Linked DNA regions of Arabidopsis thaliana. The protein of the gene in region 2 purifies or fractionates together with the protein of the main gene of each other region. This does not show direct contact. Each region holds a gene or a part of one and is shown on either strand. Other genes may lie near its edges.

The links.
Region 1: the proteins of AT1G65030 (region 2) and IMP4 fractionate together in Arabidopsis thaliana (co-fractionation; one large-scale study listed by BioGRID). This does not show direct contact.

Annotation. Positions count from the first base shown.
Region 1 is NC_003070.9:23,664,211-23,669,515, reverse strand, and holds IMP4 (Ribosomal RNA processing Brix domain protein), read left to right. Parts: upstream 1-2,143; 5' UTR 2,144-2,272; coding exon 2,273-2,384; intron 2,385-2,481; coding exon 2,482-2,565; intron 2,566-2,666; coding exon 2,667-2,776; intron 2,777-2,867; coding exon 2,868-2,918; intron 2,919-3,382; coding exon 3,383-3,526; intron 3,527-3,625; coding exon 3,626-3,715; intron 3,716-3,866; coding exon 3,867-3,973; intron 3,974-4,163; coding exon 4,164-4,251; intron 4,252-4,372; coding exon 4,373-4,471; 3' UTR 4,472-4,686; downstream 4,687-5,305. Other genes in the region: UBC5 (ubiquitin-conjugating enzyme 5), read left to right, coding at 513-556, 679-758, 933-1,047, 1,153-1,205, 1,298-1,426, 1,492-1,628; AT1G63770 (Peptidase M1 family protein), read left to right, coding at 5,273-5,305.
Region 2 is NC_003070.9:24,154,616-24,159,281, forward strand, and holds AT1G65030 (Transducin/WD40 repeat-like superfamily protein), read left to right. Parts: upstream 1-2,056; 5' UTR 2,057-2,182; coding exon 2,183-2,851; intron 2,852-3,420; coding exon 3,421-3,718; intron 3,719-3,825; coding exon 3,826-3,896; 3' UTR 3,897-4,060; downstream 4,061-4,666. Other genes in the region: AT1G65020 (plasma protein), read right to left, coding at 1-89, 191-333, 463-642, 830-945, 1,478-1,694, 1,775-1,896; AT1G65032 (COMPLEX 1 LYR-like protein), read right to left, coding at 4,280-4,555.

The DNA.
Region 1 (5,305 bases), 490 kb from region 2:
AAACAAAGCTCAAGACCTTTCGGGGAAGGTTATGTGACAAGCAAAGACATATATACAAAACGGAGTAGTATTTGTGGAGATTGGAGAAGAACAATGAAAATGAATTTACTTGTGCTTTGTAACCGTTGTGTAATAACGGCTATTACAAGAAAAGTTTATAGATAAGATAAGTTACATGATCTCAAATGTTTCGATGGGTTTTGTTTGATTTGCAAATAGCTTCCTGAGCATATCACGACAGTATTCATGTCTACATTTTCTTTGTGGCCTAATTATTAAATTTAAGTTACCGTCGAAACTTGAACTTGAAACTTTATTTTTGCCAACACGGCAATGAGTTCTCTTGGAACATCTCACATCATCATCATCATCATCATCATCATCATCATCGATATCTGTAATAAAATAAAACAAAATAATGAAAAAGATTCTCTCACATTATCTTATTTCTCCACTTGATTCCCAGAAGACAAAAAAAAAAAAAATCAGAAAAAAAGAAGAAGAGAGAAACCATGTCTTCGCCGAGCAAGCGTAGAGAAATGGATTTGATGAAACTGTAATTTTTTTAATCTTATTATCTTATCAGTTTATTCTTGATTTTGAGCTCCGATTTTTTTTCTAATGTTTGTTTGGCGATTTGATTCGATTTTTTTGTGATGATTTGATGTGAGAGTTTAGGATGATGAGTGACTACAAGGTGGAGATGATCAATGATGGCATGCAAGAGTTCTTTGTCGAATTCAGTGGACCCAAAGACAGTAAGTAACTCAATTCGTCCCGTGAATAATTTAAATCATAGAGTTTTGATTCTGTTTTTTCTTGTTCTTGCTGCTGATGATGATCATCATAGGGTTTTGTGTCAATTTCAACTTATCAGTATCAACTTGTTAATTTTTGGTGATTTTATCTCTGTGTGTTTGTACTATGGACAGGTATATATGAGGGAGGTGTGTGGAAGATAAGAGTTGAACTTCCTGATGCTTATCCTTATAAATCTCCATCTGTTGGTTTCATTACCAAAATATACCACCCTAATGTCGATGAAATGTGAGTTCAATCGAATCAGTAGATCTTTTGGAGGAGTGATTATGTTCCTTCTCCAAATCTTGAGTGGTGCTTATTTGTTATCCCTCTTTGTATGTGGTTATGCAGGTCAGGTTCTGTTTGTCTAGATGTTATTAACCAGACCTGGAGCCCGATGTTCGGTATGATCATAACAAATGGAACAATATACAAGATAGTTTTAACTCCTGTTAGTTTTTGTTATGTTAATTATGATTTGGATTTAGTTATTCAGACCTGGTGAATGTGTTCGAGACATTTCTTCCGCAACTTCTTCTGTATCCGAATCCGTCAGATCCATTGAATGGTGAAGCAGCTGCATTGATGATGCGTGATCGTCCTACCTATGAACAGAGAGTTAAAGGTTAGATATTGAGTTGATTAGATTCTTGTTACCCTACATTATCTTATCTTCTTGCTCGGTTTCAGAGTATTGTGAGAAATACGCAAAGCCAAGGGCGGATACTGAGGAAATGTCTAGTGATGATGAAATGAGTGAAGATGAATATGCCTCGGATGGTGATGATGAAGATGATGTTGCAATCGCCGGTAAACTTGATCCTTAATCCCGCATTGGTCTTGATATGAATCATGTAGCTGGCTTAATAGATGGCTAAACCGGGGATGACAAAAAGAAGCTGGTGACTTTGTATGTATCATGTATATATGAATAATCAATGAATGTTTAAAGGTTCCAGTTTTAATTGAACTGTAAAATCTCTATTTCTCTTGTTGTTTACGTTGTCATTTTATGGTCGTTTAATGTAAATTATTGAAGCTTTTTTAATCTTCATGTTGTGCACCTCTGTTCAAAGTATAGTTTGTTGTAAATTATGAATGGTCTTACAGATTTATCTAATAAAATATTAAAATCACAGTATTATTTAAGACAGAAATGCCCTTATAGCTCAGTGGTAGAGCGTCAGTCTTGTAAACTGAAGGTCCGTAGTTCGATCCTGCGTGAGGGCACCTTTTTACCATTTTTACTATTTTTTTTCTTTTCCTATGGGCTTCTTTAGGCCCACATAATAAATAAACGGCCCAAAATAGCTAGCTATCTCCGCCTCACGTTTTGAATGACAAACACCTTGCCGTTTTCTCAACACTTCGCTATTTTTCTTCAGTCGTCTTCTTCTTCCGGCTTCTCTCGAAACCCTTACCTAAAACCCTAATCCGCCACATCCGTGTTTTAGCCTCACGACGAATCACGATGCAACGCAGACTCGTAAGGTTAAAAAAAGAGTATATCTACAGGAAAAGCTTGGAAGGTGATGAGCGTAAGGTCTATGAGCAGAAGCGGCTGATAAGAGAAGCCCTTCAAGGTCTAGTGATGATTTTTTTTTTCAGTATCTGTTGAAACAATCATTGATTCGATGTGTATTTTTCGTTTTTCTGATTTTGGTTTATATGGTTTAACAGAAGGAAAGCCGATTCCTACTGAGCTCCGAAACGTCGAAGCCAAGCTTCGACAAGAAATTGATCTTGAAGACCAAAACACAGCTGGTAAGAATTTGGAAGCTAGATTTTTCCAATTGGTTTGAACCTGTGATATGAATGGTTTGTGGCATCAGCTAATGGTTATCATCTAATCATGTTGTTACTAGTTCCGCGGAGTCATATCGATGATGAATATGCAAATGCTACGGAAGCAGATCCAAAGATTTTGTTGACAACTTCTAGGAATCCAAGTGCTCCGCTCATCCGATTCACTAAGGTATTGTTTTGTTTAGTTTCCGTCGTTGAATAGATGCTGACGTTATAATGTTCCTGATTCCTTTTCATTGATGGTGTGGTTTCTGTTGCAGGAATTGAAGTTTGTGTTTCCTAACTCTCAGAGAATAAATCGTGGTAGTCAGGTATGTGTGTTGTTCTGGCTTCTGCACTTAAAGTCATTTGGAAATATCTAATTCTCTTTTTTTCTGTAATCTGGTTTTGTTTTGCAATTGATCATTGCTTGTGGTTTCTTCATCGATGTTGTTAAATTGATTGCCAATGGTATTAGCTCCCTTTTGTTTCCTGGGTATAACTATTGCATGTGCATAGACTTGTATCAGATTATTGTTGAATTTATGCGCAACACTGGTCATATCAATGAATTGCATATTAGATCAAGCTTTATAATTTAAAATGTAGTTGAGTCTGTCCAATTCTGCAGAATCTAGATTTCAAATAAAAGCAAGACTAATATAAACGATCATTTAAGCTGGAGTTGTACTGACACTTATATTCAACACAAAACCTCTCTATGTAAGTGTAACACGGAAACTATGTTGCATTCGAATCGTAATCTAAGTTTCTTTCCCACTCTGTTAATTTGCAGGTCATTTCTGAGATCATTGAAACTGCTCGTTCCCATGATTTTACTGATGTTATATTGGTTCATGAGCACCGTGGTGTGCCTGATGGTCTCATTATCTCTCATCTCCCATTTGGACCAACTGCATACTTTGGATTACTTAATGTGGTAAGTAACTCTTTGAGGATCTGATTTTTATATCCAAATCTTTCTTCTTTCAACTCCTAGTTTAGCCTTTTTACTTAATCCAAAGTCCCTTCTGTTTAGGTAACAAGACATGATATTTCAGACAAGAAATCCATTGGAAAAATGCCTGAGCAATATCCTCATCTCATTTTTAACAACTTTACTACTCAGGTATATCTCTAGAGCCAAAATTCACTTCGTTCTTACTGTAATTTGGTATTGGAAACCATCAAGCTTCGTCGTGTCTCATAGAATGATCGCTCTGGTTTATTCATTTCTAATGTAAACATATTTTCAAATTTGATTTCCCTTTGTTTTGCAGATGGGTCAAAGAGTTGGAAACATCTTAAAACATATCTTCCCTGCTCCAAAACTGGATGCAAAACGTATAGTTACTTTTTCTAATCAATCCGATTATATATCATTCAGGTAAAATTTTCTCACAATGATCAGATTTTACGAATTTTAATTGGTGACATCAATTGTAGTATGCAAAGCCTAAGGTCTTAAGGCTTATGTTAGCATTTGGTAATCTGATCCACATAGAAACAGCATGTAAGAACACTGTAAATACAACAGATGGAGATTTTTATAAATTCTTGTGGGTATATATATATAGGAATCATGTCTATGATAAAGGAGAGGGAGGTCCAAAATCAATCGAGCTTAAAGAAATCGGTCCTCGATTTGAGTTGCGGCTCTACCAGGTACGCATTCTGCTTAACCGAATCAAAACTGTTTTCCTCGAGTAAAATAATGGTTTGATAAAGAATCATTCTAGTTCCTTAGTAACAATGTTGTTTCTGTGTAATGCAATTATTTTTGCAGGTGAAATTAGGAACTGTGGAACAAAATGAAGCAGAGATCGAATGGGTTATAAGACCGTACATGAACACCTCTAAAAAGCGCAAGTTCATCGGTGAATGATGACTAAACGGAACAGCTTTGAACCCTTTATCTAAATTCTGTTTTACTTATCATTCTGTTGGAAGAGCTGTTCAGTTTTTGTGTCCTTAGAGAAAATTGCGATGATTTTGTTTTAACGTTTAGCTTATAAAAACAAAACTTTCTTGTCTTCAATTAGTATTTATCTTCAACCATATACTGTTGCGTGAGTCATAATAAAAAATTTTGTAGTAGTATTTTTATCCACGAATTCAAACAAAAATTATCTGAGCAGCATCGAAGTGCTAAAAGGTATTGGAAAATGGATAAACACAAAATTGTCAAAATTCTAAACTATAATTTTTATTTTTTAATTATAAATATCTTTCATCGTGTTGTTATATATATATCAGTCCCAGGTTTCGTCTCATAGTTTCAGTTGTGTCTCTTTCATCTGATCATCGGATCTATCGGTAATTTACTTCTTCGTCTTCCTCAGATCGATTTGATCTCTGTGAAAGTCGCGAAATCGAATTTTAATTTCGTTTAATCATTTGCTTGCTTCCCAGTTTTATTTTTGTTTTTTGTTAATATTATATCGAATTTTCTCGGCCATATTTTTCATTTTAAATTCTATCCATTAGTTTTATAAAAGTCCATAACTTACTGCTCTGTGTTTTCTCTTTTGATTCTTCTCTGTTTATAGTGAGTAGAGAGAGTTATCATCTAGGGTTTATAGATTGGAGATTTTAGCCGCAACAAGGAGGAAGTGTTTTTAATTTAATTTTATTGTTAAGAGTTATTGTTGCTTTAGGGATTTTTAGAATTTGGGTGTTCTTTTAAATGGCTCGGTTGATAATTCCTTGTCGAAGTTCG
Region 2 (4,666 bases):
CCTGACAGTCACTTCTTTCGACTCTGCCCCTGAACTGCCTTCACTTCTGTAGTCCCTATACGAATACAGAACCTGCAACCTCGAAGGAGCTGCAACCCAAATCATTTTTTTTATTAATTACATAGCTCATTTGTAAATGTAAACACAATCGCGAACGCAAACAAATAATCAAGGTCTAAAGAGAATTTACCTAATCCAAACATGCTTGTTTTCTGAATAGAGACACGGTCGACTTTTGACCTTTTGATATTTCTTAAAGCCAGGGTATCTTCCTGCTTTCCTTTAAACTCGAGGAATTCCCCTAACACAATTTTGCTACTTTTAAGCTCCACTCTGCAGCATAATCAACTTTTAATGAAAACTCTTTGAACAGAACTACTTCATCAAGGGTTCAAGAGATGAGATGTATGACCAACTCAGACAATTTTTAAATTGAACGTCAATAAAGATGAGATGTATGACCTATCCCACGTTGGTGCTGTGCCAAGGATGAAATTAAGTTTTTGATGCGAAGATTCCTGCATCTCTTTTCCGGTGCTGAATGCGCCTTTAACCCAACCAGAAATTTTACTTTTTGATACTGGTTTTAGCTGTTGCCAATCTTCATAGGTAATTACCTCACTCGGGAATGCATGAATTGTACTGAAAAAAAACAAAAAGAAAACATATATTTATGCACCAGTAGGAAAATAAAGAATGTCTTTACAGACCAAGATAGCCACGCCCATGCACGCACTACAAGATGTCCTGTACTTCAAATTGATTGCTTTTTTGTCTACCTCTTGCAAGCAGGAAGATACTGACGGTAGCAAGGATAACGATAACATACCGAAAACTTGGATTGGGAATGACAACTTTGCAAGACACATTTCCTTCTAGTAAAGTAACTCCCCTCTGTTCAAGATATGATTCAAGAACTGAAGCTTGTTTCTTGACCTCCGCCAGCTGAGAAAACACACATCCATTAGTCATAAACAAGATTGCATAGATGCAAGATGCAGGTCAACTTTCCTAAGTCGATAAAAATACAGGAGATTTGATCAAGAGACTTGAAATGAAACGTGTAAGAACGATCCAGGAGAAAAGAAAGGATAACCAAGCACATTCGTATAAATAACAAGAATATTCTGTTTCATAATCTACTCAAGCGACAATCATACTCTCTACTTTGCCAAAACATATACACATTTACAATTCGATGGAGACCTTACATAAAATGAACATATCCAATTCACTGTGGTCGTGCAAAGAGAAAAACCCTATAAGCCTCTAGAAGTAAATCATCAGTGCTATTTTCTCACAATGACATAATTATGCAACAAGGAGATAGCAGCAGAGTTCCAATATATGTATCCTTTACAATCTAGAACAGAAAATTATAGAGAATCACTCACAAGCACTAAAACGACACTCTAATAACTTGGATGTTCAAACTATAAGCATTGTGTGTAATCACAAAGAATCAAACAAAACTTACAGGATCAGGGAAAGTCTCAGTAGTATGATGCTTGCCACCTTCACAAACCCAGCTACCATCACTAGTTACCGTAACAATCCCCGATAGATTCTTCACAGAAATCACTACAACATCTCCTTTAGTAACAAGAACAACATCAATGTCTTGTCTAGAAGCAGTGTCGGCATCTGGAATTCGAAGTCCTACATAAGCTTTTCCACCATAAAGTTTCTCAAGTCTGCAATAACAAATGGAAATCAGAATCAATTTCAGTGGAAATCGAGAATCGAAAAATGGAGTATGGGGAAAATCGGGAACCTGTGAGCAACGGAGAAGAGAGCAGTGGAATCGGAAGTTTCGACGTCGGAGAATTCGTCGTCGTAGAAGAAACGGCGGACGAGTTTGTAGATGACGAGACCGCAGATGATTTCAATCCACATCGTTTGCTTCGTCTTGTTGTTGAAATTTGGGAATTGGAGGATTGAGAGAAAAGAGACGATTCTTGGAAATTAAGAAAAAAGAAAAAACCCCAGCTGAAGTAAACGAACAACAAAGATGCTAAAAACTAACACAAAAAAGTCGGTTCAATCGAGCCATAAACCACAAAACTAACCGGTTTTGGTATCCGGTTTAATTTACAAAACAGTCTTCCTCTTCAATAAAAACCTAAAACCCTAATTATTTTCAATCAGACTTCCACTTTCGAAACCTCTCACCGAAGCTACAATGAGTATCATCGCAGGCTCCTACGAGAGATTCATTTGGGGTTTCAAGCTTAAACCCACGAAGCACGACGCCGAATCTCAAACCCTAACTCTCTCCCCTCTCTTCTCCTACCCTTCCCACATCTCCCCAATCACCACCGTCGCTTGTTCCGGTCCCGCCGCAGCTTCCGGCGGCTCCGACGATACAATCCACCTCTACGACCTTCCCTCCGCTTCTTCCCTCGGCTCTCTCCTTGACCACAATCACGCAGCTTCAATCACCGCTCTCTCCTTCTACACACCTTCTTCACTCTCCTTCCCTCGTAATCTAATCTCCGCCGCCGCAGATGGCTCCGTTGCTATATTCGATACTGATCCTTTTGTTTTGCTTAAGTCGTTTCGTCCTCATAAGAAAGCGGTTAATGATTTAGCGATTCATCCTTCAGGGAAGCTTGCTTTAGCTGTTTATCGTGATGAGTTCTTTGCGATGTTGAATTTAGTTAGAGGAAAGAGGAGTTTTTGTTGTAGGTTAGGTCATGAAGCTAGTCTTGTGAAATTTGATCCTAGTGGTGAAAGGTTTTACATGGTTGTGAGTAATAAAGTTGGAGTTCATCAGTCTGAAGATGCTAAGCTTCTTCTTGAGCTCGAGAATCCGAGCCGCAAGCGTATTCTCTGTGCTACTCCTGGAGAGGTTGTGTTTCTTACTCTTTGGAACCCACAATTGTAACTTTAGTCTCTTAATTGGAACATTTGGCATGTTCAAACTATTGTCTGTGAGTAACTTTGAGATTGTTGGCTTGTTGTTGAGTATTGGTTTACTAAGCTTTCTCTGTGAGTAACTTTGAGATTCTTAGCTTGTTGTGTATTGGTTTTGCTTTGATTGCTGATTAAATTGTTCTAGAGCTGCGTGATTTGGTTTGTCTCTTTTAATGCTTAGTCCTATGTTACCCATGTGTGCATATTGCAGAAGATTCCACCTTGGAACCTTAAAAGAGGTTAATTTAATACTATCAAAGTATGCAACCCTAGACTCTGATTACTCTTTTGGGAAAAGTGTTATAATCAGATAAACTAAAGGTTGCTTCTTTTGCTCAACTGTGTGTTCGGTTTAAGTTTATAAAGCCTCTGAGAGTTATCTCGCTTAATAGAGTTTCTCTTCCTTATTGATGCGGTGCTTGTGTTTTATTTGTGGAAATGGTGATAAATTTGATTTAGAGGATTTGTTCTTTGGCTTACAAATGTTTGCTTAATTTGCAACAGAGTGGAACTCTGTTCACAGGTGGTGAGGATCGGGCTATAACAGCTTGGGATACAAATAGTGGGAAGCTTGCATATTCCATAGAAGATGCTCACCCAGCTCGAATCAAAGGTATTGTTGTGCTTACCAGGAATGATAGTGACGGCTCCTTGGAAGATCCATACTTGATTGGTTCTGCATCGTCTGATGGGATCATACGTGTTTGGGACGTGCGAATGGCGGCTAAAGAAAATACAAAACCATTAGCCGAGACAAATACTAAATCAAGGCTTACTTGTCTTGCCGGGTCAGCTCTTAAATGTAAGTTTATTTTTCAGAATGTGTTTTTCTAAACCATACAAAGCCAATAAACAAACTCCCACAAGTTGTGACATTATGGTTGTTCATCTTTCTCTATGTTTATTCAGCTATGAGACGGCCACAGATTGGAAAGCAGGAACCTCAGAAGGTAGACGAAGAGCATGAGGACTCAGAATAAGAGCTGATTTTTAGTGTTTATTGAAAAATTGTGAGCTGACATTAATTTTGATGCAAGTTTTGGTAGAATCCAGTAGATTCTTGTCGAATTATAATTATAAACATTGTCTTAAACCATAGATTTTGTGAAAGAAACAAACAAAAAAAAAAGCATTCTACTAATATCATTTTACATGAGTTTTCATCAATTTGGACAATCTCACTTATGCATTGTGTTGTTCTTCTCAAACTTATCATTAATGATTATTGGGATACACTGAGCAATATGCAAAAACATACGACATGTTTGCTAAACCATCATCTTGTAATACCAAAAACATGACAAAGATAGAAAAGAGCAGCAAGTGAAGCCATATATATCCATGGATGTGTGACAATGATGACTCAATACTGAGTAGAGTTGTTGGGGATTTTGCCTTGTTTCAATTGAGAAAGAGCATATTCACCAGTACGGATGAGATCAGCGACATTGTGTTTCGAAATCTCCTCAGAGCCAAACAAGAAGATGGTCCTAACCTCAGCTTTCTTCGCAAGTCTTGAAGCATAACTAAGCTGCAATTTTGGCGAGTTAATGCTCCTAAGTAATTGTCGATACAAAGAAAGAACTTTTCCTCTGTTCTTTGCAGCCTCTTCTGCTGTTAACCATATCAGACTCTTCATGGCTTCGTCTTTAACAAAATTGGAAACGAGAATGTCCTGCACATGTTCATTGAGCAATTTTGTCAAACACTTGGTGCGCAAAGAACCAAAACACCAATGAAAAATCAAATC